Linked DNA regions of Drosophila melanogaster. Changing the gene in region 2 together with the main gene of any one other region gives a genetic interaction. Each region holds a gene or a part of one and is shown on either strand. Other genes may lie near its edges.

Region 1 (3,600 bases), 7.8 Mb from region 2:
TTACTAATATGAGCAGCATCCTGATAAATCTACCACTTTTTTACATTGCCAAGAGGAGCTATTCTATTCCCCTGTTTACAGACCGCATAAAAAATGTTTCTAGCATTCGAAGAACGCATGTTTCGTAGACTTTTACAAATTGTGGTTGGTTTTATTTTCTCATCTCTCTCGTGCAAACAAAAAGCGCTTACAATAGAAGTCTAAAAATGCGTTTTTTAGAATTCGAAGGGGCGCCGTGTGATTACTTGGAAATAACAATGGGCCCGGTCTGCTTGGCGGCATCGCGCTGCTTGAACACGATCTGGTTAGCAATACGGTCCAGATCACGCTGTCCAATGGAGCTCAGTTTGCGACCACCGTCCGGGTGCTTCTCGACCAAACGGGCGTGCTCCAAGGCCTGCAGAGCCTTGCGGGCAGCACCGTCGGCGGCGCGGCAGAAGTGCGAGGGGTGGACACCGTTGCGCTTGCGTCCGCCGTAGATCTTGGTGATCGAACCGACTCCAGCGGGACTGCGGTGGTACAGATGGCGCAGGATCGAGGCGCAACGCACATAGAACCAGTCGGGATCGTAGGGCGCCAGCTCCTTGAATTTGGCGGTCTTGACGATGTCCATCTGGTCGGGCACCTTCAACTTGCCAGTCCTATTTGGTTTTTTTCGTGTTTTTTTTTTTTTTTTTGGGGGGGGATAAACAAATGGATTGTGAGGTTATGTGGTGGAAATATACTTGATGTTCAGTACTCACTTCTTCAAGAAGACGGCGACCGCCTTGGTAACCGCGTGCTGGTCAATATCCTTCACTGTGACGCCTGGCATCTGCGGGCAGAACGGGAAAAACAAATGGGGAATCTATTACAATGCTGCCAAAAACACGTTGTCGCGATTTCCACGATTCTCTCACAGACACACTCTTTCTCTCTCTCTCTCTCCCTCGCACACACACATGCACGGGCACAACAAAAAATTGCCAGCCGAAGTTTTAACCCGAAAAAAGCTGTCCTTTCGTGTTTACGGCCGGCCCATTGTGTCATTTGCCACTTGGCGTGGGCTCTTTCATTGAATTTCACCCATTCAAAACATAAAAAAAAAGATAATTCACTTGAAAAGAATTCGTGCACAACCTTTCTCGTTAAAGTCAACCGGAAAAAAGAACAAGGCGCGTGAAGTTGGCTGCGGTTAATAGTGCTGGGCCTGCCACCAGCAATAGTATCGATTAATCGAATGCCGGCGCGGCGAACTATCGAAGATTCGGTTAATGATACTCTAACACGTATGTGTTCAATTTATAGTTATTTTTAAAAATATTTAAATTAATGAGCACACCAAGATTATATTATATATTACTTGGCATTTGAAGACCTTGTCTAAACATGCATTTTCGTATTAGTATATTTTCAATGTGGGCAAAGAATGCGTAGTACAATTCATATTTTGCTGTATCACTTTATTCATAAATAACTGCTTTTTATTTTGTTAGCAACCGATTTACATAACTATTCATGAAGCTAGTTTCTGAGTCTATCGAATAACAAGCGGCCCATCGATGACGCAGACAACCGATATTGCCGCAGCACCATCGCCATTTGGAGCGCCACCTGTTGGCCCTGGTATATTCTGGTATTTTCATCGGCGCCTAGTGACTTCGATACTTCAACTTCGATATGTAAACACAATTGCCATCTCTACCAGCACCGAGCCGAAATAAAATAAGTGCAACGCGCAGCGTCTAATTGAAACCAAATTGATCTATTTGGCCGCGGCCGAAACTGGACATTCGCAATTTGGGCGGTCAGCCGCCCCCGTCCCGTCCCGCCCCCCCGTGCGTTTCCCCCGCTGCCGACGGACAGTACGTCGGTGTGACGCACATCGGTGTGTGCGCGCGTGTGTGTGTGTCTGTGAAGCGCCTTGTTATTGTTGTTGTAGCGCTTGCTACGTTCGCCGTTCGCAGTGCACTGGTGTGCGTGCGCTCGTGTAAGTGTGTGTGCACAGAGGTATCGTTGGAATTAACAAAAAAATAGAAGAAGGAAAAAGCTACTTGATTGGGGCACACAAAAACCAACAACTCAAAAGGCCGAGAAACAAAAGCCCACCTTCAACACCACCAATCCGCCGCATTCGACACATTTTGGCCAGGTTTTTGGCCACAAGTGTTGACACAACTGTTGCATGCCAAGCGGACTGCGGACAATAATCCCCGTTCCCTTGTTTACCCAACAATCCATCGTGGTCAACGTGATCATCCTGGTCATTACGATCCCATTTGCACAGGAAGTAAACTAGATTGATAGCATTTTCCGGGAATCGATAGCACACCTGCCTGCCGTGTGGGAAACGCACCTGGGAACGCCCGGGTGCTCGGCTGCGTCCGCATGTGGCGTTGGCGGCACTCCACCAAAAGAAGCCAGCGCCAAGTGCCCAATCCCCATACCCATACCCATTCCCATTCCCATCCCCATCCGTATTCGATTGGCGTTCAGTGGCAGCAGTTAGCCAGAAATCCAACGAAACACTCGTGACCTCATCGCCAGCAAACAGCAAACAACTAGCGCTTGACGCGTGCCTCCTCTCCTCATTACTATTAGCATTCCCAGCATAGACAGACGTCCAACAACTCCTGGCAGGTAAATGTACAATATAAATATGTGTACCCCGAAGAGAACTCTGTTAAACCCTTGCTTCGCTTTCAGTTGCAGCACAGGAGCAGCAGTTGACCAACAGGAAGCAGCAGCTGGAGCAGCAGTATCAGCTTGTTATCTTGCATTTGCATGCCAGCTGGACGAGAAACTGTGACCAAGCAGCGCAGCATGGATGTGGAACGAAGGCGCCGGTGAGTGCACGAGATGGCGGCCCAAAAGCGACTGCTCCACTCAATTAATTGTCACCTGAATGGCAGCATCAGCAGCAGCAGCAGCAGCAATAGCAATAGTAGAAGTCGAAGTAGAAGTAGAAGTGGCAGTAGCCATCGCACAGATACGTGCGATTTGTACAGACAGATTTGTGATTTGTTCAACTGACCAAGCCAAGCAGGCAGCTAAGCAGCTAACCAGCTAACCACCTAACCAGCCAACTAGCCAGCTAGCACAATTCAGCGCAAGCCAAACGGGCCTGGCCAAAACAAATCAAAAAGTAATACACCGCTGGCAAACACCTTCCATATCTCATGTTCAAAGCGACAGCGCGGCAATCAAATTGACAAGCGAGTGAACAAAACGGGGGGCGACTTTATAATAAATTTGCCATTTTCGCATTAAAATTTGTAACCAAACCAAAAAGAAAAAAAACCAAAACGAAAACGAAAAGCGAACTAAAACGAACGCACAGTGGCTGATGCCGCCGTTTGTCAGTTGCAGGCGTCGCGTTGCATCGGCTGCATCGTTTGCATCGTTTTGGGCCAAAAAGGTAGAATAGATAGCCAGCACCACGCCGGTTTCTTCCATTGGACAGTAGACGGTATAGGGCATGGGGACATGGCTAATGCCCGCCGCCCTCCATTCGTGCGAGCCGGAACGGTACGTTGTTCTCATCTCCACGCTCCTAGCATTCAGCATTCAGCATCCAGCTCTCAGCTACCAGTTGTCGTCCTGGTTCGCTTGCATTCCAAA
Region 2 (3,956 bases):
TTACATTTATAAATATTATGATGTACATGCAATCTTAGTAAATAATTTAAATTTATATTCTTTTGAACTATAAACTTCAAACTTTATTTGTATGAAATTTATAGTCGCCTACCTTTTTGTACAGCTTGATCCATGTGGAGTCGCCCTTGGAGTCGGTGTACTGGAGTCCAAAGAACCAAACCTCTCGCAGGCCGATCGTCTTCACCACCTGGTCAAACAATTGCTTGCCCGTCGTCGTCGACTGAATGGCGAACTCCAGTTCCGCGTCCATTGTCGTGACGCGCACATTTAGCTGAAATTAGTAAGGGATGTCGTGATATTAAAAAAATATCGTATTAAATGATTAAAATAACGCAAAAATATATATATATATATATATATAAAAGAACAAAGCATTGCCTTTAGAAGGCAAACTAAAAACGAATGAATCAAACAGAATGTTTTATTAATTAAATGTAACTTATTTGTTTCTTTTGCTGCATTTCTTAAGTTAAAAGTGCCATCATCCATGACATGAAAAGCTAACTAGATCAAACTAACTGGGCATGCTCACAAGCCAAATAGAAAAAAAAAAGAGTAAAAAATTGACACCCATCGATGAAGGTGGCGTGCAGAGGAGAATCCCCCACGATTTGTTTAGGGGTCGATGGATTAACGGGATGTGAGCAGGGCACGTGCCAAGAGCTCCCGTTTCGCTTTGGAGGATTGGATTCGATTGCCACGACTTGCATAAGTCGGGCTTTCGACTTAAACGCGCGCACACACACGTTTCAAATGGGTGAAAAATGCTTGAAAAAATGGGGGGAAATGGGGGAAAATGGAGGGCAAAATGGAAAGAGGGAAAATGAAAGCGGGCCGCAGTGAAAAATCACGCTTGGAAAACAGCAAAGCAAAAATCAATCAGGCATGACAATAGCAACAAGCTGGAAATGACCAGGCAGCTCTAGATAGTGGAAATAAGTGGGGGGAAAACACAGGGTGTGGGGTGTGCGTGTGTGTGTGTGTGTGTGTGTATGGGAATATAGACCGGATGGCCAGCGAGTGGTAATCGGTGGTTATACAAGAGAGAGATAGAAAGAGAGAGCTCAGCCGCTATCTATCCCACTGCGCGTGCCACTTGACCAACTTGCAATGTGAAATGGCGGAAAAGCTAGGGAAATTCCACCCACATCGCCACCCAACGTCGGACACACAGCACATGCACATGTCAACCTGTACTAACTACACTACATACCATTGCGCAATCGCCACATTTGGATCAAAGTAAATGCGATCGTAGATCAAAATTGGGGTTAATATGCAGCGCAGACAATAGAGTATATATAACTAACAATTCAGTTCGCTTTTTACAACATGGCCAACAAATGTAAGTCTTACATTAAAAACCATTCGTTTAAAATATTCCTTTACTTTATTGAAATATACAAAGGAATTTTGCTAAATACCTAAATCAGCTACAAATTTTTTTAAACTATTTTATTTCCTATCTGTTAAGATTGATTGAACCAATTTCAGTTTTAAAGGCCCTTTGAAAATCCGCTGGTTTTTGTTACCATTTTCTGGGCATGGGAAAAAACAATGTGTGGTAGACCCAACAAATTAAAATTTTTTAACTTCATCATTTTGTTTGGCTCGGTTTTGCTTTTCAGTCCGAGGGCTCATTGTTTTGTTTTCGCTTTCGGCTGCTGAATGCAAATCAAACGTGACACAATGTTAGGAAATTGAAAACGTTTTTCATTTCAATCCAATTAACGTTTTTGGGTTAATGCAACCACCGTGGTTTCTGCTTTGTTTTTTTCTCCCCCTGGCCGCTGAGAATGAAAAACACAACAGCTATTTGCAACGGAAGTTGGAGCATAATAACCAGTTTTTAAAAAAGAAAAAAAAATGGTTTTTGACTTGAAACCACAAAAGTGCAGCACATGAAAAAAAAAAAAAAGAAAAGGGGGATGCGCTTTTCCAGCTTAGCAGGAAAAACGTGGAAAATAGTGAGCAGTGTGGTCCGTACCGTTTTCCGTTTGACGCTGACTCCGCCGTAACGCGGCAAACGGACGCGGCTGTCGGAGACGACGACCATTTTGGGCACCGAAAACGGATTGCGCAGTAGCTTTTGAATTATTACGCCTTTTCAATGCAAATCTCCGTCTGGGAAATATATATATATTCTTGAGCAGCCACAAGCTACGCGGGAAAACCAACCGACCAACGCGACACGATGGTTAAAAGCGGAAAAGCGACGATTCGATTCTGTTGTCCAGCGGCAACTGAGGAAAATGGAAAAGTCACGGCACGTTTTTAAGTCGCCAAATGGGGAAGACAAGCGCAAAAGGCAAAAGGAAAATAAATGCTAGAAGAGAAGAAAAACAAAAAACAACACTGGGAAAGCGGCGGCGGCGGCAGAACGCAAAAGAAACGCTAAGGGAACACACAACACAACACAAAATGAACTTAATTTCTGCCCAAGAAAATGGGAAAATTTTTATCCCAGTCATTCGTTGTCAAGTTAATATAAATTGCATGTTAATTATGCATCTAAAAGTGGACAGCCGCAACCATAAAGAAAAGAACTGCTGACCATAGAGGTCAAATGGGTTTTCCAGAACGAGAGAAGTATGTGAATGCAATGGGGGTCAAGTAAATAGTGCAATATGGTAAAATATATTTAAAAAATATATATATAAATCAAAACACAACCAATTCTCTAAATGAATTATTGATTGAATTAGCTGTATAGTTAGCTAATTTTTAGTTTGAACACTAGTCATTTGGCCAGCGCTGTGCGCCGAAGAGCACGAGAGAGCGCCGTAGAAACGCAGCCCCAAGGTAGGCAAACAAATCAGCGTCAATCATACGACGCGTTGGCTGTCAATTCTGTTTTATTGATGCCGCTTTTGGGCCTCAAATAGCAATTAAACCCCTCCCCCCTCCCCACTCCGCACTCACATATCAAGCTATTCAAACAGACCAATAAACATCTAGTTATGGATGAGAAAAACTATAGCGAAAAAGGGAAAGTTATGGAGAAACCATTCAAGCACGATGTGCATCGACTACTGCATTGGAACAGAGAAATTTCCCTAAAAGGCAAACGACTTCTTAAAGCTTTGTGCAAAAATCACCTTTCAATCATCCAAATTGTATTATAAAATCACTTCAAATCACGTGTTTGATTGTCATGATGAACTCATAACAAATACATCATTCATTAACAATCAAGTTGAGGCAAAAATGTCATTAGACCATCGCTGGGTGAGATAAGAACTTTTCCGGTTGCCAAAAAAAAAAAAAAAGAAATCACAACATGTCAAAAAGAAATTGGCAAATGCTTTGGTATGAAATAATGATCTACTCATGTGTTCATATCAATGACGTCGTCTTCTAATCCAATTTTTCGCCGTCTGCGTATCTGATGAAATGATGAAATTTTTTTTGGCAAATGTCCAAGAATCAAATACAATTACCAACGTCAACAGTTGGGCCAATATGACGTCTTCGCCTGGCCATCCCCATTCCCCCCCAGAAGAAGTTCTATTAAAAGATGCGATGCGATCCCAACACTCCACAATTGACGACAATTGTAGCTGAAGTGCTCTCTTGATAAGAACACAATTTCCGATAGCTGATAGCTGACAAACTTTTCGTTGTGATTTAATATAACTAATCTTTAATAATTTACTAGGCGCTAGTGCAAAACATTTGTTTTATCAGATTCGTTTGTGGTTTCATTCCAGTGATATATGGTTACCATTATAATGGAATATTTCGAACTTATTATAATACTGTCTAATCAGTACTAATTATTTATTATTTTATAGTTATTGGTTAACTTACCGCTTTTGGAGACATTTTGTTGTTTCGTGTCTTGTCGTACTTATCGAAACGAAATGTTTTCTTTCCAGGATATTATCGTCTGAACTCTTTATTGTTTTTGTGCTGCAATCTGCAAAATATAAGAA

Evidence for each region. A genetic interaction does not mean that the proteins touch.
Region 1: of Moe (region 2) and Rok, changing one suppresses a phenotype caused by changing the other (phenotypic suppression), as found in Drosophila melanogaster (one study listed by BioGRID).

The regions. Positions count from the first base shown.
Region 1 is NC_004354.4:16,635,447-16,639,046, reverse strand, and holds the start of Rok (Rho kinase), read left to right. Parts: upstream 1-1,632; 5' UTR 1,633-2,619; intron 2,620-2,685; 5' UTR 2,686-2,763; coding exon 2,764-2,825; intron 2,826-3,379; exon of another isoform or gene 3,380-3,472; coding exon of another isoform or gene 3,473-3,507; intron 3,508-3,600. Other genes in the region: RpS19a (ribosomal protein S19a), read right to left, coding at 242-641, 744-814.
Region 2 is NC_004354.4:8,876,461-8,880,416, forward strand, and holds the start of Moe (moesin), read right to left. Parts: upstream 2,266-3,956; 5' UTR 2,078-2,265; coding exon 2,009-2,077; intron 702-2,008; exon of another isoform or gene 596-701; coding exon of another isoform or gene 554-595; intron 293-553; coding exon 113-292; intron 1-112. UniProt on the Drosophila melanogaster protein: Involved in connections of major cytoskeletal structures to the plasma membrane. Together with wgn, involved in control of axon targeting of R8 and R2-R5 photoreceptors, independent of egr.